4 linked regions of the Struthio camelus genome follow. The protein of the gene in region 4 interacts with the protein of the main gene of each other region in a pairwise test. Links are inferred from orthologs where the notes say so. Each region holds a gene or a part of one and is shown on either strand. Other genes may lie near its edges. The genes, in order: KCTD6, NECAB2, FTH1 and SDCBP.

Evidence for each region.
Region 1: the proteins of SDCBP (region 4) and KCTD6 interact in binary tests that used the Homo sapiens proteins (3 or more experiments, as listed by UniProt). The two-hybrid records come from large-scale screens. The link is inferred for Struthio camelus from reciprocal best matches to the Homo sapiens genes SDCBP and KCTD6.
Region 2: the proteins of SDCBP (region 4) and NECAB2 interact in binary tests that used the Homo sapiens proteins (3 or more experiments, as listed by UniProt). The two-hybrid records come from large-scale screens. The link is inferred for Struthio camelus from reciprocal best matches to the Homo sapiens genes SDCBP and NECAB2.
Region 3: the proteins of SDCBP (region 4) and FTH1 interact in a two-hybrid assay, tested with the Homo sapiens proteins (2 studies listed by BioGRID and IntAct). The two-hybrid records come from large-scale screens. The link is inferred for Struthio camelus from reciprocal best matches to the Homo sapiens genes SDCBP and FTH1.

The regions. Positions count from the first base shown.
Region 1 is NC_090955.1:10,380,099-10,387,175, reverse strand, and holds the start of KCTD6 (BTB/POZ domain-containing protein KCTD6), read right to left. Parts: upstream 3,001-7,077; 5' UTR 2,736-3,000; intron 2,584-2,735; exon of another isoform or gene 2,107-2,583; intron 1,197-2,106; exon of another isoform or gene 1,131-1,196; intron 437-1,130; 5' UTR 324-436; intron 315-323; exon of another isoform or gene 1-314. Other genes in the region: PDHB (pyruvate dehydrogenase E1 component subunit beta, mitochondrial), read left to right, coding at 3,310-3,363, 3,435-3,503, 3,628-3,735, 3,808-3,870, 3,954-3,989, 4,086-4,371, 5,295-5,405, 6,022-6,113 and 1 more. UniProt on the Homo sapiens protein: Probable substrate-specific adapter of a BCR (BTB-CUL3-RBX1) E3 ubiquitin-protein ligase complex mediating the ubiquitination and subsequent proteasomal degradation of target proteins.
Region 2 is NC_090951.1:21,304,676-21,312,670, forward strand, and holds the start of NECAB2 (N-terminal EF-hand calcium-binding protein 2), read left to right. Parts: upstream 1-4,925; 5' UTR 4,926-4,958; coding exon 4,959-5,147; intron 5,148-7,995. UniProt on the Homo sapiens protein: May act as a signaling scaffold protein that senses intracellular calcium.
Region 3 is NC_090946.1:7,331,711-7,338,839, forward strand, and holds the start of FTH1 (ferritin heavy chain), read right to left. Parts: upstream 3,084-7,129; 5' UTR 2,875-3,083; coding exon 2,764-2,874; intron 1,009-2,763; coding exon 862-1,008; intron 1-861. UniProt on the Homo sapiens protein: Stores iron in a soluble, non-toxic, readily available form. Important for iron homeostasis. Has ferroxidase activity. Iron is taken up in the ferrous form and deposited as ferric hydroxides after oxidation. Also plays a role in delivery of iron to cells.
Region 4 is NC_090943.1:135,811,528-135,818,604, reverse strand, and holds the start of SDCBP (syntenin-1), read left to right. Parts: upstream 1-3,888; 5' UTR 3,889-4,027; intron 4,028-4,706; exon of another isoform or gene 4,707-4,729; intron 4,730-7,077. UniProt on the Homo sapiens protein: Multifunctional adapter protein involved in diverse array of functions including trafficking of transmembrane proteins, neuro and immunomodulation, exosome biogenesis, and tumorigenesis.

The sequences.
Region 1 (7,077 bases), on a different chromosome or scaffold from region 4:
TTTGAAAGACGGATATCCATCAGAGTTATTTAAATGATTGGATGAATACTGTGCTATTTTGGCCAGCATCTGAGTCCCCAGTACAGATCAGTCAAGACGTTCTTTATCAGTTATCATTCAGGAAAAGAAACAAATTACATCTGCCTGTCAGTATGAAGACAGGAGCTAATGTTTGATCACAGCATCACTGCATAACACTGGAGCAAATAATTTATGAGAACAATTAGCTGAAACAACCCCAGCCTTCAATAAATAAGTGGCATCTAGAAGCCTCATTGATCTTTGTATAAGAGTCCAGAATCACTAGACACGCACAGACGTACCTGGCAAAGCTAGCATCGCAGCGAGACGCACAACGCAAACAGATGATCTAAGGAGGCCAGCCTGCGTCCAGACAGCAAAGAAGAGACGAGACGCACGCGTATCCCAACACAGCCTGTGTTTAATAATCATAAGAAATATTCATTTGAGATGAAATTTAGCCAGGTAAACTGCTGACACCATATAAGCCAAACAGAATATTGCTCTTTGGTGAGAGCAGAAGTGCACTGACTGAGTCAAACCACAGTCCTACTTTCCTTAAGCTCTTTTAGGGGGTGAGGAGAAGATAAGACAGTGTTAATACGGTCATCTCATTTTATCGCAGCATTGAGCGCATCCAAAACTAGAAAGTAACAACGAGAGGCAAGCGCCTTTGATGAAAAGCCCTCAAGTCATCGTGTCATGCTCAATATACTGAATGGGGGACCTGCATTTATAGAACTCTCAGTCTTATTTAATATTTTATGACTCAGAGGATTACAAGGCTATTTACTAGCAACATTACTGCAACAGTAGTCCCATTAACTTGATTAAGGCTTCTCCCATGAAGACAGCTACTAGCATGCAACCATTTTGCAGGCTGAGATTCAGAAAAAGCAAGTGAGAGTCAGCTGAAGGTCTGCATCTGTGAAAACACACACGTGGGTCCAACTCAGACCCAGGGGAAGCCAGCGGCATCGCCAAGCCTTTTTGCTGCTAGCACTGTGTATACTGCATTGGGTCAAGGGAATAGGTTATCACACTGCTCCTGGAGAAAATGACAGCATTTTTATCACATGCAGTTACATGGAGGAGGAGTAGAAATATACCTAATGCTTAGAAGTCAAGAGGCAGGCACCACCTGGTCTGCTCTAAATGTTTTTCATCCAGGTTTTCTAACAAAGGAATTAAAAGACTCGCTTTTAGTTCTAGTCTTCAATGGACGATTTGGTACCAGTGTTGTAGGACAAACTGTTTAACCTCAGTAGGCATCTTCGATTTCTAGGTCGAGACAAAGTTGACAGGAATTGCACAAACAGCAACTTAAAAAATTAAAAGGAGCAAAGCTAGCTCTGTACTTGTACAGATAAACATACTCAGTCTTTGAAGCTACTCACACCCACTCAGTGAGATCCTTGTCTCTGACATTTAGATCTCCAAGGATGAGAACCAGAACTCCAGCTCTGAGCACAGTTACGTTACATCTGTGAACAATCTCCCTGCTCCTGATCCAGTTACAGAGTTTGACAGGAGAGTTTTTACGGTAAATCTCTTATCACAGAGACACGTGAACTGACAAAAACTAAACTAGAACAAGCAATGACTCTACTCCACAAAACCGTGCAGTGAGACCACAGTCTATAGAGCGAGACCATGATGATACAGCACCACACTGCCTTAGCCGAGAAAGAGCGAGGAGGACATGTTGTCTTAAAACAAGTTACCAACTGCTCTGGTAATTCAACAGATTTGCTTCACTCAAGGAGGCACCCATCGCCTTCTAAACACATCAAACTTATAATGACTAAGGCAGTTCATTATAAACTAATGTAATCTTGTTTTTCCTTAGTTTCTTTTTAGTATACTTACACCTCAACTCAGGCAGAAGAATAAAACGCTCGCGCTAGCCACTCGGCATTTCATTGCCTTATGTCTAATTGCTTCACTACAAACTCCAAGCTCCCAAAGTTTTCTTCCCTCCGCTGAGGAGCTCCACAACATCCTGTTTCAGGTCCAGCTCCCAAACTTTCCTCGTAACCGCTCGTTCCTTGAAAAGCCCACGCCACGCCACCGCTTCGCCCTCACCTCACGACGAGGGCCAAGAGAAGAGACCCGTATCGGGCCCGTCCCTGCCGGCCCCGCGCTGCTGAAACCCGCCGCGCCAGCGCGCTCCTCGCCGCCCGCCACAACGGGGCGGGGTGCAGCCGTGTGCTTCTGCTTCCGTGGAACATCCACTCGCAGGTGCTTGCTCGGGGGGCCGCGGCTCCAAACGGCCCCGGGGCAGGGCAGCTGTCGGAGAGGCAGAGCTCCCCTGCGCACCAGGGCCGGACCAAGCGCGGGGCCCCAGCAGCCAGGGCAGGATGGTGGCACCTCCCTCCCTCCCTCCCTGAGAGGGGCCCGGGCCTGCACAGGAGGAGCCTGGGAAGTGCCACCTTCCATCACGGCGAGACTGCGGCAGCGAAACTGCCGCCGACACGAGGGTGATTCAGCACAGCAGCCGCCAGACACAGACCCGCGCTCCTCGCCTTCCGCCCCAGCCTTTCCTCCTTCCCGCCGGGCCGCGGCCCGGCCCCCGGCCCCCCCCCCGGCCGACGGCACGGCGGGCCCCTGCCCCAGCCGGGCCCACAGCCCGCTCAGCGCCTGCCCCACCGCCCCGGGGCCCAGGCGTCCTGCCCCCCCCCCCCGAGGACCCAGGCGGCCGGCGCGGCACTCACGGGCGCAGCTGCCAGCGCTGAGGCGGAGCCCGGCGGCGGCGGCGGCAGCGGCAGCGGCAGGGAGAGGACGACTGAGTTGAGCCCGGAGTTGAGCCGCCGCCGCGGGCGAGGCGGGGCGGAGGGGCGGGGCTCGCCGCAAGCCCCGCCCTCGCCTCTCGCGGCCCCGCCCCCCGGCTGGGGCAAGCGGGCGAAAGCAGCTTGGGCACAAGCGGGGGCCGCGGGGCGGTGGGGCGAGAGGGTAAAAGCGCTCAGAGCGCTTCGGCTCGGGGCAGGGCGGAGGGAGGGGGCGGGTCGAGGGAGGGGGCGGTGGGGCCAGGAGCCGTCCCGGCGGCCCCCCCCCCCCGCGCACAAGTTTGACCCTTGCGCCGCCCCGTAAACGCAGGGTGGGCCGGCGGTTGGCCCCAACGGGCCGGGCGGCCGCGGGGGAGCGGAAGGGGCGGTGCGCCCCTGTTCTCGCGAGAGCGCGGGGCGGGCGCGGCGGTTGCCGGGGCGCCGAGGGGGCGGGGCCTCGACGTCACTGGCGGCGCGCGGGCCTGCCCCCCCCCTCCCCTCGGCGCTAGAGGACACGGGCAAGATGGCGGCGGCGGCGGCGGGGGCGCTGCGGCGGCTGGTGCCGGGCGGGCGGCAGGTAGGGCCGGGCCCAGCCCCCGCCGCGCCTTGCCCGCCGCTCAGCTCTCACCGTCCCCCTTGTCTCCGCAGGGTCCCGCCGCCGGGCGGCTGCTGCAGCTGCGCAGGGGGATCCGGCTCTCGGCGCCGGCCGCCATGCAGGTACGGGGAGGGGGGCGGCGGGAGGCGGGGAGGAGGAGGAGGAGGAGGAGGAGGGGGAGGAAGGGGTGACCCCCCCCCGGGGTGCGGGCGGTGCCCCCGCTGTGCTAGGGTGCGTGTGCCGCAGGTGACGGTGCGAGACGCGCTGAACCAGGCGCTGGACGAGGAGCTGGAGCGGGACGAGCGGGTGTTCCTGCTCGGCGAGGAGGTGGCGCAGTACGATGGCGCTTACAAGGTGAGCGGCCGCAGCTAAGAGGCGGGGAGAGGCCCTCCTGCGGGCCCTGACTTCTCTCCTCTCTCTCTGCAGATCTCCCGAGGCCTCTGGAAGAAGTATGGGGACAAGAGGATAATCGACACGCCGATATCGGAGGTACGGCTTCGCCTGTCACTTACCCTGCTCGCCCTTCTGCCTGCTGCTCCCAAAGGCTTACCCTTGGTTTCTTTCTGTTTAAGATGGGCTTCACAGGAATTGCTGTTGGTGCTGCTATGGTTTGTACATTTAAGTTTCTTTACTCCTGAATTAAACTCTTTAAAACAAGCTCTTTTTATGTAAAAAGGCACTAATATATATCCTGACTTTAATAGGCTGGGTTGAGGCCAGTGTGTGAATTCATGACTTTCAACTTCTCCATGCAAGCAATTGATCAGGTCATAAACTCTGCTGCCAAGACCTGTTACATGTCTGCAGGATCGATCTCTGTGCCCATCGTCTTCAGGGGCCCCAACGGGGCATCAGCTGGGGTCGCTGCTCAGCACTCGCAGTGCTTTGCTGCTTGGTATGGGCACTGTCCAGGACTGAAAGTTGTTAGTCCATGGAGCTCAGAAGATGCGAAAGGTCTGCTTAAAGCATCAATCCGGGATGATAATCCAGGTGAATACACTCAGATCATGGCAACAGCTAGCATTAGTTTTTTTAAAAAATGTCTCTTCATGTTTCCCCTCACATCCCATTTAAAAAAAAAGAAAAAAAGTTTAAAACCCTAAAACACTTAGGACTGCTTTACTCTAAGGTAACTTGCAAAGGCACAGAGGAATCGATTCTGATACTTGACACTTTCCTGAATCATGTGGCTTGCTAGTAGTAGACTGTAATTTTGTGCTAGTGCTTTAATCCTAATTCGGTACCAATCTGGGAAGAAACATTTAGGAATCTGTCATAAAGGAATTTAAGAGGATAAAAATCAGTCAGGGAGGAGTTCTGCATATATAGTGTCTGAGTACGTAACTCATTTTTACAGATCTTGAAATTCAGATGTTATGAATATCATGCCATTTTCTGAGAGCAGGGCAGCCTCAGTTTTCCTTCCTCGTAAGCATGCATGCAAAATCTAAGACCTTTCTAAAACTAGCAATTCTGCAAAAACAGTCTCTAGACCATGACCCCTCCCATTTTCATTTGATCTAGTTGGAGTTGTACATTCAGTTCTATAAACTTTACAATATTATCTTTTTTAAAAAACAGAGGCTTTGTACGTCAGTTAGCTTTATCAACCTAGTTTGCCTAATTCACAATCCTCATGATTTTTTTAGAATAATTCTAAGGACCTTAAATTTTGTATTAAGACCTATTACCATTATGCACCACAAGCTAAATGCTCAGTCCTGCTTAAGACCAATTCTAATCAATTAATTTAAAATTTAAAATAATTCAGTAGTGAAGTCAAAACTGGGATTTTTTTCTCCCCCTACAAACATATTCAGCTCCTAGTTGAGGTAGTCTGCTCTAGTGCTATTATCCTCAGTATAGGCCTGTGCTGTAGAACTACAAAATAATCCAAGTAAGTTTTGTTCTAGTTGTGATGCTGGAGAATGAACTGCTGTATGGTGTTCCCTTTGAATTGTCAGAAGAGGCACAGTCAAAGGATTTTGTTGTTCCAATTGGAAAAGCCAAAATAGAAAGGCAAGGTAAGCTGAGAACACAGTTAATATATTCTTACTAACTGAACTGCTTGGGGAGATTTTTTTTTTTTTTAAACTTTTACCGACTTAAAACACTACTTTCACAGGGAACAGGAATACACTTCAAATGCTAAATGTTATTTTATCCTATGGGCTCTGTATTTTTCTGTTCTCTTTATAAAGTAAGATCACTTGATATTCTTTGTCCCGCTGTCCTGCTTTCAAAAGACTTCCTTTCTCTATAAGGATGGATTAGGTAATGCCTGGAAAACTTCTTTCTCCACTTGAGAAAGTAGTTGTTGGGGTTTTTTTTCTAAAAATGCAAGGGAAAGCACTGTAGGTTTTCAGCTTGTTCATAATTTAACACTGAATTACTTGAAGGTTTAAAAGGAATAATCTAAGAAGTATATTCGATCTCTCTTCAGGTCCCTGAATTCAGGGGTGTAGTTTGTGTCTTGACATAGTCCTTCCACTGCCATTTTTCACGCTGTGGCTGTAGAATTCCTTATATTTATTTTAAGTGCTAAATACTTAAATTTACCAGAGAATCCTAACATTACCTTAAAAAGAGCACGGGGGCTAGAGGAAAAGTTTAAGTCTCTCTCTCTCGTTTCTGTTCTAGGAACTCACGTTACTTTAGTGTCACACTCGAGACCTGTTGGACACTGTTTGGAAGCCGCTGCTGTACTCGCCAAAGAAGGTGTAGAGTGCGAGGTGTGTAGGGATTTTTTTGTTGCTTTCCCCTTTCCATGGACTGGAAAAAAAGCAGCGTGTCTTGTTCAGGCCCATTGGTAAATGCCTTCATAATCAGTGAACCAAGCATGTTTCGTGTTTCTGCATTTGACCTTTTAATCACAAAATTAATGTTTAAAGCTCTTCTGCTTATTATCATACAGCTAGGTCCACTGAACAGTACACTATATAAATCAGCATGGCTGGATCTAGATATAGCAAGACTCATCTATCTGGGATTTTCCAGGAACCATCACAAACAGTTCCATAAAAAGTCTGCTGGGATAAAAAGTTTGTAATTTTGTTGACTTTTAAGTCTGATCCTCAAAGTCAGAATAGCTGAACGTGACAAAGGACGTGGTACCCAACAGTAGTAACTGACAGGCTTAGATCATAGCAAAACTGATTCAGTCCCTTTCTTTTAAGGTTATAAATCTGCGTAGCATTCGACCAATGGATATTGAAGCAATAGAAGCCAGCGTTGTAAAGACAAACCATCTTGTAACTGTAGAAGGAGGTTGGCCGCAGTTTGGAGTAGGAGCTGAAATCTGTGCCAGGATCATGGAAGGTACTTAATTTTGCAACATCCCTGTTGATCTAATTTGTAAGTCTAAATCCTGATGACTTTTTCATAAACTGCTTGATAAAGCCAAGAGCAGATAATGAGATAAGGTCAAGTTGGGGTCTTTTATCTGAGGAGCTGGAGCTTAGCCATCTCATTGTAGAGATGGTCACAGGGTAGAAGCTGGTCTGCTGCTGCTCTGGATCTTGCCTATGGAAGAGCAGCTGTGAATAATTCTTATCCTAAGAATCTGACTGTGTAGTAAGCGGGATAGTAACTTTGCATCTAAATCTTAGCGCATGAAGACAAGCGAGCAGGAACTGCTAGCTCTGAAATCTTAAAACTATAAGAAGGAAATTGTTTAGGACTCAGAAATTGAACTGA
Region 2 (7,995 bases), on a different chromosome or scaffold from region 4:
ATTGTCTTCTCTCTGCCTGGGCTGGGAGGTCTTTCTTATGGACATACGACCTTATTCTCACTTACCTTAAGGACATAAGACCTTATTCTCACTTACCTTAAGGTCTTTCATTCTGCCCCAGTGAGCTGTAATGCAGCTCATGGTCTTTTAAGGATTAGCCCTGCCCTCTGCCCCGGCCCAGGTTAGGGCTGGCTCTGCTCGGAGCGCGTGGCTGGAGGGCATCGCTTTCCGGCTAGTGTCTGCTTCTCAGGAGCAACAGGAATATTGGGCTAAATTATTGCAGAAGAAAGGCAAGCCCCTGCGTGGCACGAGAGTACAGCAAATGCCAGTGCAAGCGTGAAACTATCTGACACCCCTGCGTCATGTACAGGAGTAGAGTGACCAGGGATCAAGCCTGTGGAGCCAAAAGTCAGGCGTGAGGAAGGAAATGCCAGAAATTCCTCCCTGTAGTGAGGGATGAAGGCTTTTGTCATGGCTGGGGTGCCACAAGACAAGTTGAAAAATCCATACTGCTCCTCCACTGGAGGCTGCAAACAGCCTCTTGGGGCGTTTCGCTCCGAACAGCAGCTGGCACAGACCAGAGCAGGAAAGAGTAGGCGATACTAAAACTGAATATCAGCAAAAAGAGGGAGGCACCACTTTTGCTCTCTTGGGCGCAGACGGTTCTTGCAGCCCCATCCTCTTCTGCGTGGACCTGTTCACAGTGGCGCTGGCTCTTGGCGTGCTGGAAGCCCAGCTCCGGCCAGCGCAGTGCCGTGGGCTGGACTAACTCTGCCAACGCAGCAGCTCCGAAACCCCACGTGCTGCTTAACAGACAGCCCTGGGGTCTCCAGGGCTGCTCTTCCCAAGGGCTTACCCTCACTTATCAAGCCCGTAAGGCTGCTGCATATTTATACACATGAGCAAATGCCTTGAGCTACCTGAAGCTTCTTGTTAGCAGGTGCTGGGGAAGCTGAGCCTCAGCTGCCCGACTGCAAGAAGAGATGAGCTGTTGTCTTTCACGGTGGGAGGAAATTACTTCAGAAGTGACTTGTGATGGGCACCAGCAACGGAAGAAATGCCTTTCCCTCTCCCCTTTTGCTTCAAAGCAGCTTGATAGTGCTCCTTTCAACCCATTTGCAGACACCGTTTTTCCATCAAAATGGTGCAAATTAACCGTTTTACGTTGCAGTAACACACGAGGACACATGAGGTCACTTACAAGCAGGCAACAATTTATTTAGGTGCAATAACTCAGCTGGTTGTTTAAGCACGCTCACGTGCACACTCAGGCTCCCGTAACTGTAAAACCCTGCGGGCTGCAGTTCCTTATTTCTGCACTTTTCATACTATCACGTACGATCCGACACGAGGCGCACCGAGCGTGAGAAACCGAGGGCAGTTTCAGAAGATCATCAGAAGCGGACTCGCTTACGCCGTGGCTCCTTAACACTTCTGACCCGGGTCGCGCGTTGAAGGGGAGCAACGTTTCCGTGGGTTTATCGAGGAACGGTCCCTTAAATAAGAGGGATTAGAGTTATCTCTTCTCTAGGACGGCCCAAGCGCAAGCCCTATCAAGCCGGCTGCCTGTAACTTTAAGTAAGGGTGTAGGGGTTTCGGTGTGAAGTGCTCCTTTCCTCAATTGCCAGGACAACCCAGCTGTGTAACATCATCCCCTTAACTCCCCCTGCCATAAAGTCACTCATCAGCTGTGGTGCTGCAGTGGAGAGGTTCATCCCTGGAGGTGTCTTCTTGCTAGTGACCCACTTGTCTGCTGCTGCTTGTTTGTGATGTTGTTCCCCTGCTTCCCTGCACCTTGCGCTAGCCCCAAAGCAACCACATGGTCTGTTTTTTTCAAAGTTTCTGCTAAATGGTGGTGGCTGTCACTGGGTGGCCCCGGTGGGGGCTTGGGGCTGCCCTGCAGCCCTGCTCTAGCTCTGTGTGGGGGGCACTTGGTGGGATCTTAATTTTTTTTCTTCTCCCCCCCCCCCCCCATACTACTCTGGAAAACCTTCCTGGAGCTGTGGGGAAATTGGGGGGGGTAGGAGCAGTAGGATCTGCTACAGGTGCAGGAACCGTGCTTTATTGTGTGCTTGGTGCAGAGCGTTTCTGTTGGCGAAGCTGGGGCAGCACCGCTGCTGCGCTGTGCTCAGCCTCCCGCTGATGTCCCCACCTCTGGGGGGTGCACCCAGCCCTTTGGGGTCAGAACGGCTGCCGTCAGCCTGTCGCGGGAAGGGATGTTTGTGCAAAAGAGAGTTTAGCGGGGGCTTTTTGCTCACCGGCTTAACCTTGGTTGGAGCACGGCTCTAGTTGAGTTTAAGGTCAAAATGCATCTTAAGGCAAGAGTTGGCCCAGCGCTGTGATGCTGACGCTACATGAAGAGGTGCGTTTGAAGCTTTATACGTGCTCCTGTCCCTGCCTTTAAGACAGCACCTGGGTTGGAAATCTGTGACTCCGGGGCCCGCGGCGCCTCCCTACAGGTCCCAGCCCAAGGACGCGCTGCTGCGGCTCCGGGCTCTGCCGCTGCCACGAAAGCCCGCGGTGAGGGCCAGCGGCACGGTGTGCTTTGCAAAGGACGTCGTCGTGTGTTTTTAGAGGTGGGCATACATGTTGTGCACGTGCACGATCGCGCCACGTCTCTTCCTTCAGTTTGGACCAGTGCGTTCGGTGGGCGCTGCTGACAGCCTGGCGTTTTTGAGCCGAGGTGTAAAATTTGTTATAAAATCCCTGCTGATTACTTGTTGCATTACAGCAAAGAGCCTTGGCATAAACTAATGCAGGGGCTGAAACAGCCTTTCAGCCTCTGGGCTGGCCCCTGCCCGGGAGGGTGAGGTTGCGCTGCCCCGTTCTTGCCCGTCTCGCCGTTTCCTCTCCCTGCGACTGAACAGCTGGGTTCAACTCACTCTGTTGGTCGTTAGTAAATATTAGTAAGTCCCATCTGACATTTTGTGCTAAGTGGGACTGCAGGCCCTGCCTGCTGGAGGTTTTTAATTAAATGAAGCTCCCCGCTGCGTGCGTGTTTGGGGTGGCGGTGGTGAGAAGCGTGATTCAAAAGGGAGATGAAAGTGGCTTTCTCTGCCCGCCGGGTGGTGATGCTGGTGGGTCTTCTGATCTGGCTTGGACCTTTCTTCTTACGAAAGCTATCGGGTTCTTTAGGTGGCCTGTTATTTGAAATGGCAGCATGTGATTAGGGTTTCCAGAAGCTGCTGGAAAGCATTGGCTGTAGCACCCAGATAAGCGTTACCTTAGGGCGCGTAGACCAAACGGTGATGGTGGTGACACACCGGGAAACCAAGAAAACTTCTAGCTGCAAATGCTGTGTACTGAGCACCAGGTGCACCTCAGAGGAAAGGTTTTGCTGGGCCCACGGCGGATGTGGAACGGGAAAGGCAATAGCCTTTTCGGGGGAGTTCTTGGAGGTTCTTGAACTTGGAACTGGGAATGAGGGAGGATAGGTCTAACTTTGCCAATCCTGTACTGACGAGCCTTTAACTAGTGATAAAGCTGCAGCAAACTGGAGCCACACGTGTGCCAGGTTAGCGCAGCAAGGGGAGGTGGATGGTTAAATGTCAAGGAGGAGAAAACTACAGCCGGTGCCTTGAAACGGCTTTTCTGTTGCAGTTTGCCGTTACTGCTGTCAGCCAGGATTTGAGTTCCCCACTAGCAAAGCGGCATGGAAAACCAAACGCCGCTAGGGCTCTAGACTGCTCTCAGCTCTCGTGCTGGTACTACATGTCCTGTGGCCTTGCCCTTGGCTGCAGAAGCTTAGTCAGTGCTGCAGGAATGGGGAGAAAGTATTACAGCCCTGGCCAGAGCTCTGGAGCTGGCAGGGTAACGCAGACCCGTAACGGTACGGCCAGCGAGGCTTGGAAATGAGCTCTCAGCATCTCGCTGGCTCTACTGGGAGCTACTGAGAGTATTTAAATGAGGTAGAGCTGTTTTTCATATTAGTAAGAAATAATTTTGACAACACCGAAGTAGCTCCAAACTTCCAAGCTGCATAACGAATTTTCATAGCACGTGGAAAGTTCACAGAAGAACCTCACTTATAAATTTAGTCAGTAAATTGTCCTAAGTAACTTAAGCATAGAGCAATCCTAGCCTGTGTGTGAATCATAGTCTGAATTAGCCATTTAGCAGAGGGACGTCTAAAGGGGAAAGAAGCATATGAATAGTCTGAGGATTAAGTGCCAAAAAGAGTGGAGTAATTCGGGACATGAGGGGGCACAATCTGGTATATACCTTCTAACAAGTCATTTGTTGCTGGCTTTCTCTCTTAGGCCGTGGTGGATCAGGCCTTTCGGAGCAACGATGCCGTACCTCTTGGGAGACGGGGCGCGGAGCTCGGTGCGGGAAACTGCCGATGGTGTTTCCCGGAGGAGCGCCGGGCTCGCTGGCCCCCCTGCTCGCAGGGGCCCCGGGAGCAGCCCGGAGAGGGTCTGGCGAGCGTGCTGCGTTTGTGCCTGGCACGGGCCAGCTTCACCTGGCAAACAGGTTTCAAGCGCTGCATTAATGTGCTATAAAAGAGGTCACTGGATTCAGCTGTAATGCTCGCTTGCACTCTTAATAGCAACTGAACAAGAAATTGGAGAGCTCTCCAAACCAAGCCAGCCCCATTCCCCCCCCCCTTTTTTTTTTTTAATTTATATTTTTTGCAGCAGGCTCTCAGTTTTGAAGCTTCGGGGCATTTTTGGATCTAAACCCGAAGCAGGCACCCCGTCTGCGGGTGCAGGGTGGGGGGGGGGGGGGGCACACACAGAGCACGTGAAACGATTTCATCCATCCCCCCCCCCCCAAAAAAAAAAAAAAAAAACCAACCCGTCCTTGGGGCACGCCTAGAGGGGGCCCAGGAGTGCCCCGGGGGTGCCCGCCCGCCGCCCGCCGTCGGGGCGGCGTGGCCAAGAGGAGGAGGCGGAGGAGGAGGAGGAGGAGGAGGGGGGGGGGGAGTCCCCGGCTCCGGCATGAGGCCGGGCTGAGCGATGTGCGAGCAGGCAGCGCGCTACTGCCGGGCCGGCGTGCACAGGCTGCTGCGCAAGGCGCCGCCGCCGCCGCGCGGGCTCGACGGGCTGCTCCGCTGGGTCGCCGCCAAGATGAGCGACAAGGGCGCCGAGCGCCAGCTGCCGCAGCCGGCCGCCGCGCAGAGGAAGGGCACCTCGGTCATCCTCGATGTGAGTGAGCCCCGCGCCGGCTGCGCCGAGGCGGGCGGCCGCCCGGGTCCTGCGTGTCCCGTCCCCCGCCCCGCTCCGGGCCGGCTGCGGATGGGGGTGCTTCCCAGGTGCTGCTGGCCGGGCGTGGGGCTTCCCCCCGTGCTGCGTCCCGCTGGCGGTGCACCTCGGGTGCTGCGTCGCGTAGGGGTGCGCCCTCCCCGAGCCCTCCATCCCCCCAGACAGGCTGGAGATGGAGGTGCGCTCCGAGCCCTGCATCCCGTTTTCCAGGTCCTGCGTGTCCGCGGACCGGCTAGGCACGGGGCGGGGGGGGGGGGGGGGTGCACACTGGTCCTGCCCCCACCTGGTGTTGCTCAGGCAGCCTGGGAATGGGGATGCACCCTGGGTCTTGTTCCTGCACCCTCCCCTCGCTGGTCTTACACGCCGGGATCCCCCGGGCTGGCTGGGCACCACGGTGCACCCGGGTCCTGCATTGCCTCCGGTCCTGCACCCCACAGCAGCTGGCTGTGGGAGCGCACCCAGATCTAGGACCCCGGCCCCCTGGGGGGGCTGCGGCTCTGGGGACCGTGTCGGGGGAGGCAGGCAACGCAGTCCCGGATGCCTGTGAACGCATCAGATTGGGGGATCCCTTACTCGGGTTTGGGGGACGGGCGGGGGTGCACTTGGTTCCTCAGCTGTGGTTATTCATAGACCTCTCAAATCAGGGGGCTAACGAGGCTATTTGTCCTTACGTGGAATTAGGAGAATGGGCTGGGATAAACCGGAGTGCACATGATGCAATTCCATAGTCTTTCTGTCAGTAGCATCTAATAGTTAAACATGCACATCCTCCGTTTTGCAATCTTCTAGCTTAAAAAAAAAAAAAGCGATGTAGTGAATTCAAAAATAAGCTACTGATGGTGTTGGTTGTAGTAAAGGATAACTCGCACTCTCTTCCTCCTGCTCGAGCATTAGGCAACAGTATCTCTTGCAGGCAAACCCTTGCGTTTTCTAAACAGCCTGCTGAAGTGTGGCACTTTCTGTGGTTGGCATTGGCAGAGATGGGCTGGGGAGTCCAAAACTCACAGTCCTGGACTCACAGGCGTTACGGTGCGTCAGATGAACTGGTCTGGCTGCGTCTTATCGAGCTGCCAAAAGCAGCTTGGAGAGCAGAGCGACCCTTGGGTGGCCGTGCCCTGCGCAACGGGACCGGCAGGCAGGCTGCTGCGGGCAGTAAAGAAATGGTGCTTGATGGAGCAACGAAAAAGACAAAAGTAACGATTGCACTTATGGTTTTTAAGTTAACTTTGCTCTTTCTTTGGGTTTTTGTTTTCCCCTGCGTTTTCATGTAGTCTAACAGCAGCCTGCCCTAAGATTGCTGGTGTCTGTCTTGAGAGCATAAATACAATTGGAAGTCAACAATTTGGCTCATTCAAAAACTTTGTGAGTTAGGGTTGTTCTTTCTACCAGGACAGTATCTTATCTGCTCAACTTTACCTTCTTTAAAAGGATTTTTTTTTTCCTTCTTTGAGGTTTGAGCTAAGAAAATGAACAGCGAACTTTCAGAATTTTCTTCCCCATTGGGAAATGCAATGGATCTGGGTGTGCAGCTCCCGACCCTTTTCCCCTTCTACGATGGGACTTAGAGCCCTTTCCGACCTGCTGAAAGTAGAAATAGATGTTGGAAATGTGAGGTTTGGGGTTTCTTTCCCCTGAAAACTTGCTTCTCTCTTCTTCCTTTCTTCTCTCTAGTTATAATAGAAAATCTAAGCCACGGCTTTATTATACCGGGCTCTTCATGTGCACTATGAGACCAGCCTTTAATGCAAAGAATTTATCAGCGGGGGGGAGCGTGCATTTAGGTGAACTTTCACGCATTAACAGGAAGGTATCGAGACTCGCGTTCTCACCCCTGAGGATTCAAGCGCATTTTCCCGTCCAACTCCTTCAGGTCCTTTAGGTGGAGGGACCGCACTGTGCGTGGTGTCAGCCTTGATCGGGGCGCCCTGGGACAGGAGCGCGGTGCGGACACGGAGCAGGGAAAGGGGGAGAGGCAGAGCCTGACTGACGGGTTGGTAGCAGGTCTCCTACCCTGCGCTCTCCCACCAGCGGAGCAAACCGGTGGCTGTTGTGTAGCAAAACCGAGGGCTGAGGAAGAGTGAAACGGGACCGGGAGTTAGACGGTGTCTACCATCCACGTGCATGCTGCTGCCTGGAGGATGAAACTGAGCTTAAGGCTATTTTTTTCAGTGTTTTTCTTCTTTGTGCTTGTGTCCTTTTAGGTAAAGGATTAGAAAAAGAGGAAAAAACTGAGTAATGTTTATTAGCGCAGCTCAATCATGGGATTCGGTGTGTAAAAACAGCTGAAATTGCAGACTAACTTTTTGAAACCTCAAGTAATAAACTGATGGAGAAGACACCTAAGTACTAAGCACTCCCTAAAATAGGCAGCAAGTAAAGTTATTGGGGGTTATAGCTGGTGGCGGTAGGGCAAGCAGCGGTGGGGGGTGTTTCCCTCTGGCAATCTTGACAACGTCAGTCTGCGTTTCCGGAGCAGCTGTTGCAGTGTCGGGCAAAACGCCTGAAGGGCTTGGGGCTGAGCGAGGGATGCGCGTGCCTCCTGTGTCTCCGGCTTCGTCAGCGGCGATACAGCGTCTCGTGGCTATCGCTTGCCGTCTTTGTTTTACAAGCCCCTTAGAAAAGCGGTACTATCCGTTTCCGGTCAGATGCACCTTTGTGTTTGATCTGCTTTGTCCTTTGCTGAGAAAGTCCGATCGTGACCCGGGAGCATCTCTTCCCTCCTCCAGCAGGGCCCGAAGGGTCGTTCCCTAGCTGGCTCCCCTGCCCGTGGCTCGCCTCGCGGCTGGCCTTA
Region 3 (7,129 bases), on a different chromosome or scaffold from region 4:
CTTGGCACTCCCACACAGTGCACACTCTGCACACAGCAGGTTCCAAGTCTGTCCACATTCCCTTAAAAATCTCCTCAAATTCAGTTTAGTGAACTCCTGTAGTTAAGTCAGAACTACTGCCCTCCTCCTCCCATCAAAAGCTAACAGCCTAAACATCAACCTACCTAGGTAGGCAATGGGTACAATCTCAGAAATAAAGCAGGTTATACACCAGAACAGGGAAGTCTGGTCTTTACAAATACTCACTTCTAGCAAAAGGATTCTGCTGAAAACGTCTGTCAACTCACTCTGCCATTTTCCCCACGAAGAGTTAAGTCTTGCATAACAATATAACATTACTTTCTGCTGTTCTAAATAATCTAATTAAAGTGACTTCAAGGAAACAGTGCCATGAAGTCTTGCAATAAGCCATAGCAAGAAACTGGAAGCTTAATATGACTCTCTTGCCATGGGAACATGAAGTAAAGAGCATTGTCTCTACACAACAGTCTAGTGAACCGAGAAGGCCCTATCTTGAAGTCATTGGCAAGAACAAGGCAAGTAGTGTGTTACAGTTACCTTCCCCCTTCCTTCTTCCCTGCTCCTCCCTCCCCCCCCGGGGGGGGGGGGGGGCAAACTGCTGCAGGGTTAGGTGTATGCACCTCTTCTTACAGGAAAGCCCCTTTTTTTGTTTAGCATCTCTAGATTTTGAGCAGCTCAAACACTGCACACCAATCCCAGCAATTCAGTATTCTTAGTTACTGTTAGTGTTTTCCAGCAAGAGGATCCTCTGGGGGATTCCTCTCCTTCCAGCCTGAAGACAGACCTCAAGTCTAGCTCTGTGCTACAGTCCTGAAACACCCACAGCTCTATTTCTCTCACCTTGATGTCCTGCAAGAAGATGCGCCCGCCTCTCTGATTTTGCAGCTTCATCAGTTTCTCAGCATGCTCACGTTCCTCATGGGACTGGTGCAGAAAGTACTTAGCGAAGTTCTTTAGAGCCACATCATCACGGTCAAAATAGTAGGACTGAAAAGAAAAATTCACATGCTAAAAAACCAAACCCTCACTACAGCAGCCACACAAGCCCAAGTCAGTACTGCAGTTTCAGATATGCCTCCTACCAGCCCTTTATCAAGATGGCTGGAGTCCAAACTAAAGGTAGCAGCAGTGTGATGACAGCAAGGGACTGCGGCAAAACTTGCTTACTGAGGAAATGGAGACAAACTTTTCTTAAGTATATTCAGAAGGGGACCAAAGATGCCTGTTCTGAGCACCATTCAAATGCCTCAACACAGCAAATTAAGTGTAGCGCTACCAAGTTCCTCTTCTACAAGGAGAGATTCCCCCTGCTCCCTTTGTTTGTGTTCAACAGTGACCATGAGTCAGAGTTAGGATTCTTCAACACAAGCTAAAGGTGGCCTTTAAGATACTTCTGGGATAAGGTTCCCATGCCTCATCGGGCTTATGAGGCAACAGACTGAGAAATTCCCTTTTTACTTCTGAAGAAAGCTAGCAGCACTTTGAAAAGATAGTTGAACATGTATTTCGCCAGAGTTAAACAGCAAATACCAGACAAATCTTCAAGTCAAAAAGCATCTGTACCAGCAGTCAGAAGCCACCACACAGCTTGTTTGTTTTTTTTTGGTCAAAGCCATTGGGCAGGATTCAATGGAAAGCTTTGTATCAGCTGCCAGTTATTTACAAGACTAACTGCCACAGAATTCACCACCATTAGACCAGCGGCGTAGGAGCTTCAGGGAGAGACACTGGTGCCTGTGTACCACTATCACCCACCAACACAGTTACATTCAGCTTGCAGCTGAGGGTCTGACCTTCACAGTAACACAGAACCAAGCAAGCAGGGAAGTTATTCACCTGAATGCCCTAACATGCTGCAGCATCACTAGGAAGTGTCAGTGCTTTAGATGAGCAGGTGACTCGAGATTGCTGCACAGAGGTCAGAGCTGCTGTTTGGACTCAAAGTTATTTCTCTCAGCTATGGCTAAAACTGGAGTCTCGCACCAAGTGAGACATGCAAGTACAGCTCCAAGGAAACCATGGCTTCCTACTAATTCACTCCAAAACTACGAATGCAAAACCGTGCCTCGGAGGAGGGCGCCTGTGGGACAGGTGCCAATCTCTTCGTTAGGCAGCCCTCGCTATCCAGCCCAGCCCCAAGGGCAGAGCCGCTTGGCAGCGGCTGACCTGTGCTGATAACAGGTCAGCCAAGGGCGACCAACAGAGAGCGGTTAACGCGCAACCGAAGCTCGCCGCAGAGATAAGGGCACCAAAAAAAAACCACACACACCCCAAACAACGCACCACACGCGCAGGCAGCCAGCCGGCCCCCAGAGCGCCGGGGCACGCCCCGGGGAAGCGCCGCCCGGCGCACCGCGACCCCCCCACTCGGGCGGGCGGCCACGGAGATTTCCCCCCCCACCACCCCCCGCCTCGGCCACCGCCTCTTGCCGCAGGAGGGTGCGACATCACCACACACCCGCCACGGCGGCGGGCACCCAACGCTGGCCGGGCCCGGCTCGGCCTCCCCCGGACAAAAAAAGGGGCGCAACGCCTGGCCCACGGCGGGTATCGCACGGAGCGGGGATCCCGCACGCAACGGCCTTCCCCCCCCACCCCCGCTCCCATCCTCGGGGGAGGCCCCACACCCGGCAGGCCCGAAGGCCACGGGCGGGCCCAACCCCTCTCGCAGGGCCCCTCCCCCCTTCCTCTCACAGAGGGCCCCCGCCGGGCCGGCCCTCAGCCCCCTGCCCCGCCGCTCACCATGCTGAGGTACACGTAGGAGGCGTAGAGCTCCAGGTTGATCTGGCGGTTGATGGCCGCCTCGCAGTCCTGGTGGTAGTTCTGGCGCACTTGGGAAGGGGGCGTAGCCATGGCGCGGCCGGTTCCGTCCAAGCACTGTTGACGCAGGAACCCGCTCCGCTCAAGCCTCGCCGGCGCGTCTGAACCGCCGCTGCCCCCCGCGCCCCCCTTTTATAGCGCCCGCGCGCGTCATCTCGCGCGCCAGGCCCCGCCCCCCCCTCGCGCCGCGACGCACGCGCCCCCAGGAGCTGGGGGAGGCAGGGGCGGCACTAAGACGCCCCGCCCCCCGCCGCAGCCCCGCCCCTCTCCCTCCGCGCGCCGCCGTTCTGCTGGCCCGGCGTGACTCAGCACCTCCCCTGCTCCCCTCCCCTCCCCGCCCTCCCCCCACCACCTCGCGCCGCGGTGGGCGGGGCCCGCTGCCTCGCGGCTCGGGCAACGGTCGTGCAACGGCCGCGGGGGGCGACAGCCCTGTGGGCCGCCCGCCCTGTGGCGGGGGGGGGGAGGGGGGTGGCGGTTTCCCTCAGGGCGGGCTCCCGGCAGTAGGGGGGGGGGCGCAGGCCGAGGGTCGCCCCTCAGTAGCGTCACCTCGGCCCCCCGAAACCCGTGAAAGGCCCAAAACGCTGCGGTCCCGGTGCTATTTTTGGCTCCGTGGCCTAAACCGCCAGGCAGGACGGGCTGTCCCACCTCACGGGTGTTACCGCGTCGTTCCCCTCCCTGGGACAGGGTGACTGCCGAAATGGAGGTGGAAAGCTCGCTCAAAACCGAAAGGCTGAGGACAACTTTTCACTGGGTACATAAATACACGCCGGCATGGAGGGGAACAAAAATGGGCTGGAAGGAAAGAAGTCAGTTTATGGCGGGTTCCTTCCCTCCCGCCCCCCCCACCCAGCTTATTCTGAAGGTGGTAATTTGTACTGGAAAAGATTTTATTATAAAGTCCAGCTGGTTGTCAATGGCAGCGGGCAGCTTAGGCTTGTCACAGCAGTAAAACAGAAGGCGAGTCAATGGCTAGACCTGAGAAGTTTCCAGACTTCTTTCTTCGGTGACCGTGCCCTACTTTGGACAGCGGCCTAAAACTGCTCCGAAGGAACGTAAGAAACCATTAGGTAAAGGGCAAAGTCCTTGGTTAGCCTTAACGAGCCAACCCAACGGAAGAAAGAACAAATACTGGTGAAAGATGCCATCACCCTTCAAGGTGGTTCAAAGTTATCAACGGGCACCCGCAGCAATCATTGCTGAGTGGGTTTTTTTTTTATTTTTATTTTTTTTTGGAGGAGGAGGAAGCAGGCCAAGCATCGGCCCTCAGATGCTTGATTTGCATGAGGGTGAGACCTGGGAGAGGAGCCTACAGCCAGTTAAAACACAATGCCAAATAATAAAGAGGCAACTGAGAAATCAAAGGTCAAAAGGAACACACTGAGCCACCTGATAATAGGATCATTATTTTAGCTCCTTTCAGTATTACCATGATCATTCAGTTTGTGCGGTCATTTATTTTCAATAAACACTGGGTTCTTTTAGTTTCTGAGATTTTTTTTTTTCCAGAATTTCCTAGATTCAAGCAGGCTCTTGATTGTAAGTGCAACGTGGAGGGCTAGAGATGGCCCACTTAAAGGGAAATTGAGATAACACTGGGCTGCCAAAACTTCGGTCTTTACTAACAACAACAGCTGATGTTGAAATTCAGCAGAAATAGCCCAGGTATTGGCAACACTACTCACTGGACTGTCAATAATTAAATGCCATTTCTTCTTCTAACCAGTTCTTTCCATGTTTATTCAGTCTTTGAACAGCTCTTCCCGGTGACGCGTGATTTCCCACGGGCGACTGCACAGGGGTGCGCTTGCGTGGGAAGAGCTGCGCGGGACCTGTGTCAGCACAAAGGCAGTTTTAGAGGCGTTCCTGAATGTCCTAAGGAAACAGGCAGCCCATGTCTTCCTCTGCTTTACTGGTTTTCGTTGCTTCTGTCAGTTAAGCATCAAAAGCAATTAGATATATAACTTAAGGTGGATTATACCTATTGCTTTGGCAGGCTGCCGGGTACTTCTCACTTGAAATCTTATGTTCCCCTCCCAACTAGAAGCTTATGTAAATAAAATTTAAAAAAAAAAAAAAAAAGAAGTAACTGCTGGGCAGATCTCAGGCAGGCCTCTGTACTGGCAGTTCATTGAAAAAGTATGTTTCAGTATTCTAGCAAGACTAATACTGAAACTGTAAAGCACTAAACCATTTCTTAATTAAATTATGTTTGTGTTTGCTTCCCACTTAACTTTTTTGTCTGTGATTGACAAAGGCGCACGGGAACTCTCAGAAGGAAGTTGCCTGGTGGCTTACAAATTGCAAGCTATTGCTGTTTGGTTTTTTCAATCTCGTCATGGTCAAGCCCACATAAATCCTCACTACGCTGTTTTATGAAAGGCTGTGCAACAGCACAGTTTATAAGCGGTTGAGCGAGCAGTCCATCAATAAAAGGAACGTTTCCTCTGTCATTTGGACAGTCAGCGCCAGCCATGGCTAAACGTCAGGAAGACGAGGAATGTCCTACGTTCTGCTTTCTGGATCGATTGCACTGCACAAACATACACGCTGTCTTCAACGACGCAAAGCACGCCTGGCCAGAACAGGACACGTCGGGTGGTACGGCCATGCCTCATAATAGCTTGGTGACCAACATGAAGAGCGTCTGGTCCTACGAGACTTTAGCGTTAGCTTTGACAAGGACCTTTTCTGATGATTGTTCACTTGTTGACTTCCCCCAAACTACTGTCACATTGTGTTTAACTTGGACTTTGTTCCATACTGTTCTACTATGGCTTGGGTTGAGCCTTTCTACCTGAAGGATGTATTTATGAGCGTTCCTCGGAAGAAGCCTGCTAGAAGCATCATCGTAGTCAGGCTGGACCTCACATCAAATAACATTCACGTTCTGCAACTGCAAGATCATTCCCTACATCTGACAATGTTTTGCACCCTAGTCTCGTCCCCTACTACTTTCGGTAGCTACTAGTTAATTACAACCCCTGAGCGTTATTCATTAAACTGTTCAGAATTAGTGGGGGATCCTGGCTTTTCTCGTTCAAATCCAAAAGATTAAAGATCTCAGTGTATACAGGAAAAAAGAGACTGGTAGTCCCAACTAGTTCTTTCAGTACGCTTTCCCACACAAACGTCGCAGCTGCGCAGGGCCTGATCTATCCTCTCAGCAGTCTGCACCCGCAGCCTTACTTTGAATTCATGTCCACTCTCAGCTGCTTCTAGAGGCTGGCGCTGCTGCTCGGTCGGGCTGGAGTAGAGGCATGCTTCGTGCTGCCCACAGGCAAAAGTCAACGCATTGTCCGCCTACAGGGGCTCCAAATTGTTGAAGGCGATCTCTGTTTTCCTTTGGCCGAGATCCCATCAGAAACAATGGAGCCAGCTCCCTTGTTTACAGCTCAGCTATTACGTGTAGAGCACAGACCTGAACACTAGGCATTTCAGGGACAGTAACGCTTAGCTTCCTCACATGACAGCTGGAGAGATCATTTTAAGTGTGCAAAATAACCTCAGCTTCTCTGATGAATGTTTGCATAGACATACAGGAGATTATTAAGTCCGAGAACTGGTTGACATTGCTCAGGATATACCTAGATGCAGAAAAAAACCACCAAGGCTCTGTTTGCACACACCTCTCAGCACTGGGTGTTGCGGTAGCAGAAAGAGCGAGAGCCCCAGACAGGGGCCGAGAGTAACCGGCTGTTAGTTTGGGAGCTCAGGGTCGTTTCTGAAGAGGACACGATACGTACTTGGGCAGACAGAGCTGTGCATAGCACCATGCAGCAAGAGCACTTGAAGGTGGCACAGACTTTGCACAGGGTAAGACCTAGGAAAAGCTGTGAAAAAGGGAAAGTTTCCGTGACTGCTAAATCTACTTTAGATGTAATTCATCCTGACTCTACCTGGGCCCTCCTCGTACATGACCTATCCAAATTCTGGCAGTGGTCTGACTGTGGGCTGAAAACATGATTTTTAAACAGATGCTGGACAACATTTGCAGAAAGCAAACTCTGAACTTGTAAAAATGGAAGCCAGATTTGTGCTGATATAGTCGGGATGAGCGCTCTCAGCTCATCTTCTGCACAGCAGCCGTCCCCAGGAAGTGGCAAGGGCACAAAAATTTTCTGAAAGTCCAAGCGTGGTCTCAGTCCTGCTCCAATTGAGTTACTGCATCACCATTGCTTTAGGAAACATTATGTACTAGCAGCTGTCTCAAACGCTGCTTTTAACTGGAACTTCCTCTCTTGCTTTAAAATGCTTTCTTCGTCCACGTTAATTTAGACCGTGGTGGCTA
Region 4 (7,077 bases):
AAATATTGTTATAATATTAATATTTTGGGAAATATGTTAATATTTTGGGAAACACAGTAGAAAAAATATTAATAATTGCTTGCACAGCAGTCAGACATTGGAGTGTTACTCAGAAGACTGTGACAACATTAATATTGCCATCTTTACAGCGGAGTTTGAATAGCAGGCAGGAAATCAGGTACGGAACTGCAAATTGAACACTGGAAAATTGTACATTCACTGAGCACCATCCATTCCACGGGCTGATGAGAAGAGAGTGGAAATAATATGTTCTACTGTATTAAAAAGACTAGATCTTTGACGCATGAACAGGGAGTCAGAAACAAAGTGACTCAGGCAATTTTAATTCTGTTAGTTTCTAATGTTAAATGTTTGACTTGGGTGAAGCTCTTTTAACGTAATTTATTCTGTATGACAGGTTTTTTTTCGCTCTGGAATTCTTTTTTCTACGCGCAAACTCCAAAAATTCTTCACAAATTCTAGAAGTGTCTCAGTGCCCAGTGCAATGCAGCACCAGGGAGCTACTTAAAAGGGCTCAGAGCTGCTTTGTTCGAGAAACACAAACAGTACGTTAGGATTTTCTTTGCACACAGCTGAGAGCAGGATCAGTTAACTCACTCCAACACACTCTAATTAGAGGCAAAGAACCTCTTTAATACAGTTATTCCACTCCTAGTACTGCCAGGGTGCTCTCTTGCACAGTTTGTACATGTTTTGAGTGACCATTTATAACATCTCATTGTTGCAGGGGTGGAGAGCTTCCTAAGGAACACAAGCACAATTTACTTCCAGCTTCAAAGGAGAAATGTGAATTTTGGAGTGATTAGCATGTATTATTTTATTAAGAGTTTTGCAGCTGCTAACACTGATACTGATCTGGTGGTTTCTATTATTTTTTGAAAGTTGGCATACGACTAGTAAAAAAAATAACAGCATACTGACAATTGGAAAATTACCACGTAATTGCCCATGGGTGTTCTAATGTCAGTGAGTAAAATCTGATAACTTTGCCATTTGTTCCACTTCTCTCAAACAATAGGTAATCTTGGAATGCTTTCTGCAAATACTTCAGGAACTAATCGAGAGCTGCTTGTGTAAGTGTTTTAGCTCCGATTCTTTAGAGCTCCCCAATCGCCACAGAGTTCATAGAAAGGCACAACCACGCCCTTCTGCTGCCAACGTCTTAATTCTGGAGCACGAAAGTGTTTTCTTTGTCCCAGATTTTGAGTTCACCTCACAAAGAGATTGAGGAACATGCCATCCCCTTCCGTGTCTCAGCTTCCCTGGGAAGGAAACTCAGACTTTTTGGACAGTGGGACCCTTTGGTCTCTGCATTCAAAGAATCAAGACCCTGACACATGTCAAATGGTGCATTCGCTGCACAGATTAGACAGAGCCTTTTCCTAATAATTATATTTGTGTTTTGCTGTGTTTCATTTCTATATTTAAATGAACAATGATTTTAAGAATGTTTTTCAGTATAACAAGGTTAATCTTTCTCAGTTCAAAACTGTAGTAGTCTCTATTCAAGACTGTAGTAGTCTTAAGCAAGGCTGCATCTTCATAGCATTCTTCTTTAAAACCTTGAGTAAGTTGGGTTTCACGATATGTTCGGAGATGAAGGTAATGAAATTCACTTCCATTACCATACGGAGCTACTGGCCTGTGATCGGTCTTTGCTTATTTTTATATTGTGTGTTTTTAATAGTGCACACAAACTAAGCCCAACAAATAACAGACTGTATGGAGTCCAGTGTTTCGGCTAGAACCTCATTATAAATAAAATATAAATGTTATATATATTTATTCTTATATATATTTATTCATAAATATATTTGAGATATAGATAATATGTTATATAAAATTACATAGAATATATATTATATATATTATAAATAAATAAACATATAAACATAAAATATATATAAAAGCATGTTCTATTACAGCCTCTTGGGTAAAATCAAGACATGTGCATTGACAACGCAGGTCTGACATCTACAGACAAATGCTGCTACCTTGATAGTGAATGTCTCAAAAGATCATGACAAGGGATAAAGTAATGCAGCAAAAGGCAAATAAAAACCTAGCTTTCTGGAGAAAGGAGCAGTGCCTCTGGAACAAGAAGGGCATTCGAAGTCAAAATGAAATAAGATGTTGCCCCTCAGCTGTCAGCACCAATGTTCAGCAGGGTTGCGCCATGTGGACAATGCACAGTCGTGTTAAGTGCTTCAGTCAATCACACGTCTGCTATTTCCATGCTTTACGGACACTACCATGCTCTTGATGACCACCACTACCCAGGCTGGGCACAGGGCTTCACCCCCACCGAGCTCACCGTGGGATGAAAAGCTACACTCTCATTCTGAGCATACACACTTTTAAGTCTTTCATTTATATTAAAAATCATTTTTGACTACAGAGAAAATTTAGCACTACAAAAGCAATAATTATCTGTCCCTATTAAGCCAGAGCTAGATTCCCTCCCTCTCTCTCTCCCTGCCCAAAAGGTACCTAACAGAATTTTTGTGAACTCATACTGTAGGCCCGAAATTGCACTTATAAATATATCTAGTGATCTGTAGTTGCATGACTCAGTAGTCAAAGGTTAAGGTACTTAGGAAGGTGGCAGACCTGGCTAATAATTCGATATAAAACCAGAAACCTTCTGAGTGGTTGGACAGAGGCTGTATCTCCAAATTCAGCGCTGCTGTGACTGCTGCCAGAACACGATGCAGCCCTGTGATGCTCACCAAAGATGCTGACAACGGGAGAGATCCAAAAAGCTTAGGAGGGCTGAAAAATATGTATTATAACAAAATCTGTTTAAATACAGTTGTAATTTCCTAGGCAGTGGAAAATGACGTAACAGCTTGCTGCTGTTTAAAAGAGAGGGACCTTCCCTTTCCTTCCTCTTCCTCCTCTTTTCTCCTGTTTCCAGCAACACCCTCCCTTCCCCTGCCCTGGCACCAGAGCTTGTGGGATCCTTTCGTTGCCAGCTTAGCTCACTAGCCCAGAGGAAAAACATTCACGTCTTTCGGGGATTCAATTTCTGCTGCATCAGTGAGTTGAACTGCCCTGCAAAAGCACTGGGCAGTGGTTGGAAGTGGCTCGGGGTCAGTTGGGAGCTGCAGGACAGGGGAAAGAGCCTGGAAGCCAGAGCAAGAGCTGCTTCCTCAGGGCCAGCGTACGGTCCGACCAGCTCCCCGAACCCTGCCGTTTCCTACCCCAGGGGAAACTCTGGGGTGATCAGAATAGTTCCCGCCATGCGGAACAAACTTTTTGACCACAGGTAGTCTTGCAAAGAAGGATCTAGAAGACTGCCAATTGATGCTGGAGAAGTTAACGCTACAAATAAGGTAAAAGCGCAATAACTACAGTAGTCAAGTATAAGAGCCACTCTCCTAGTTTGTAGTGGAATTTTCCTGTAACTAGTGTATTTTAAATCGTGATTTCTCTAGGGTGTTCCCCTAAGAGACGTGCCTTGTCTCCCGGTCGGAGAAGGCCGAGGTAGGGTGCTAAGCCGCACCTGAGGCGACGAGAGCGCAGGGCCCTCTGCACCGCTGAAAGCTGTAAATATACAAAGAGGAGGAAAAAAAGTAAAAAAAAAAAAAAAAGCAAGGACTAACCCCAAACAATCAGTAATGATATAAAGCATATAGAATACATTTTATTTAAAAAAAAAGGGGGGGGGGGGAATTGATAGGAAAGGCGGCAGCCCGAGCCCGTCTCTCGGGGCAGCCCCGCAGTCCAGCCGCGACCCGGCCGCCCTGACCCGCGTCAGCGTCAGCGGCCGCTGCCCCCCGGCTCCGCCCGGCCCGGCCCGGCCGCCCGCTGCCCCCGGGCTCCGCCCGGCCCCGCCCTGCCGCCGTGTCATGGGCTCCCGCCGCCGGAGCATGCGCGGTGCCGGCCCAGTTTTTCCACCGCCCCCTCGCCCCTCATAGCGGCGACGCCGGGATCTGCTGCTCTTGCCACCGCCGCCGCTCTCCCTCCGTGCGTTGAGGTCCCTCCGCGAACGGCCTGGGTTGAGGTAAGAGGAGGGGGCTGTCGGCCTGCGACCGCCACCGGACTTCTTCCCCCTCTCCCCACCCCGGTTGCCCTGTGTGTGCGGGGCCCGGGGCGGCGCCGTTTCGCCTCGGCTCGGCCCGGCCGGCCGCGGGGGCGGGTGGGGGCTCGCGGCGGCGGCGGCAGCAGCGCTAACGGCTCCCGCCGGAGGCGAAGCGGCGCCGCCGGCACCATGGCGACGCCGTGGAGGGGCTGGGCGGGGGGCAGCGCGGCCGCCTCGGACCACCGGCGCCGCCGGGGAGAGTCGGCTCTGCCGAGAGCCGAGAAGCGATTTCGTTTTTCCGCCTGTGGAAGCGGCGCGTCCCTTCCCCTCTCCCCTCCCCTCGCCACCTCAGCGGCGGGGCGCCGCCGCACCGCCATGTCGCGCCGCGGCCGGGGCGGCCTCCGCCGCGGCCCGGCTCGGAGGGAGCCGCCGCCGCCTGTTGCTGCGCCGCCGCCGCGTTAGAAGCGCCCCCGCTCGTCCTGCCGGCGCTGAAAGCCAAGAGCGAACCGGCTGCGTGTGTGCTGGCCCGCTCTGGCTTCGGGCGGCCTGTGAATCAGGCTCCAGGGGTGGTTTTGATTCTTTGTTACGAGCCAGGCTCGTTTTTGGGGGGTGGTTTCTGGCTCCTCGTTCAGGCTCCTTGTAAGACCTTTCTCTCTCCGCTAGCTCCAGTGCGTTCGTGGGAAGGTTTGTAGGTGCTTGTAACGCCTTCTTTTTAGACCGATTTAGTATTGTTTTGGGGGTGGAATGGATGTCTTTCTGGGGAGCCTTTCTTCGGGTTGGAAGTGGAGGCAGCAGATTTTGGGGCTAAGTGCAAAATGAGAGCCACTGCTCTAAAGCTAATCAGACATGTATCAGAAGGGGGGGAAAAACAAACAAACCTCGGTTGTTCGTGGAGAACATGTCTTGCAAGACAATCTGCCCTATTCCTGATGTACTCTGCCTGACCTTCAGGCTGTTTTGTCCTGTCTCTCCTTTAAAGATGAATTTATAGTTCATTGGTTTCTAGCTATTCTGGAAGTCAAAGCCAGTGCTTAATAGAGGTACCAGTTTTACAGCCTGCAGTAATTTCTCCATATACCATAGTCATAAAACACATAAAATGCCTCCTTCTCCCCGTGGGCCCCCCCCCCCCCCTTTCCCCCAAGTCCTGCTGGCTGCTGCTCCTTTCAGAGATGGCAGTTGCTACATGCTGGTCAGCCTCAAAGTTCGGTTCTTAAACTGCATTTAGCTTTGTCATTTCAGACCTGGAAAATGCGTCTGAAAGCCTGTCTGCTTCCAGCTATGCCACTTTGTTGTGTTAGAGATTACTTCTGCCTCTAAAACTTCCTGCTGATAGCGTAAGGATATCACGAGTGCTGTATTTCCATGGGTTCCTCAGGCCGGTGATTGGTTACTCTCCTTTAGTAAATAAGACCTACTTAGTCAGAAGTGCTTACTGCTGCGTAGCAGCATTTCCAAGCCAAAGATGCACAGAAAAGTGGAGAAGGCTTTGCGGAAGAGTTTTGTGGGATTGCTAGCTGAATTAAGACTCCATCCTTTCTGCTCCACTCTTTTCTGTTTTCACTTCTGCTTTTCTACGCTTTCTAGGTTACTACGTGTGTTCTTTACAAGATTTAGGAGTGTATGAATGATCAAAGCAAATGATTCTATAGATCAAGGCAAATAACTGTAGATTTTTGAGAGGAAAGGAAGCTAATGACTCCTTTTTTGTGGTAGCTCCCTTTGCTAGCTTCTGTCTAAGGCTGTTTCAGGGTCTGTTTAAACTCTTATTTATACTGTGGATAACATGAGGTACAAGTCATAGACAGATTGTTCCCAAGATTACTGGTGGTCTCTTATGGTGAAAATGGCTATCAAATGGTTACATTCTAAACTAAATACACTGTTTTTTGTCGTCTTAAATACGTATGTGACCTGTAATTAGCTAAAGGAAGTTAAGTGTTAAAACTGCTGGTGCAGAAATGGAAAATACTCCTTTTTGACATAAAAGCAACAAAGATACATACTCACTAAATGTAATTACAGTGGTGACAGTTATTCTAGCTATTTATTTAGAAACTCACTTATAGTAACCATTAAGATTATAGCCAGGAAGCTAAGAGCAGCTCCTCAGTAATGTTGACGAATGCTTGTATTTTGCGAACTTCCAGCAGAGGAGACAAGGTGGCCTATATGACTGTAAAACAGCAGGATAAACTCCTGGAATATTTTCTTAAATGATCAGAGAACAAATGCAGGTTTAGCTTTGGTAGTGCTCTCCTACAGGAAGTACCACGCTCCTCTTGGTAAATTAGAAAAAGATATGGCCCTCTGTGACAAACATGACCAGGAATCGCAGTGTGGAGTGAAAGTGGCACGTGGAGGAAAAATTAAAGCTGATGGAGGAGGAGATGTAACTAGATTGTGGAAACTGGGACCACAACTCAACAGACCTTGTGCTGTTCTCTGCCTAGCATATGAAGTCGTTAGCTCACTCTGAGCAGAACTCTTTCCCTTCCCTTCCCTCATCACCCTAAAGCAGGGTGACTTTGCCATCCGTGGGGAGCAAGCCTTCGCAGTGCCAGGGACTATGCTAATTTTGAAAGACTGTGTCAGTGCTTGAACCTGTAGTTTAAATTTGCTAGCACAGATGTAGCTTAGAAGTAATTGTGTGTCTGGTGTTGTGGATGGTTTTAGAGATAGCGGCAGCAGAATGCCAAGTCTGGAGGACTGCTTACCCGAGTGACGGTTTCATTGGACTTGGGCTTGCACTTGCTGTTATCTGTTTTGGATGAGTCAAAACAAGTGACCGTTTCATGTCAACGCTGGCTTAAAACAGAATTAAAAAAAAAAAAAAAACAAAACCAAAAAACAGTTTAAAGCGAGTGCTTAATTTATAGTTGAGACCTGGAAGCTCTTTGTGTTTGGTTTAGTTTCAACAGTTTGACAAAGGCATCAGTCACGATTAGCTCGTACAGCATAACAGGCCATGTGTGCACAGTTTATCAAATCAGTATCTCTGTCAGATTTTTGGCACTTTTTCATGTTCTGAT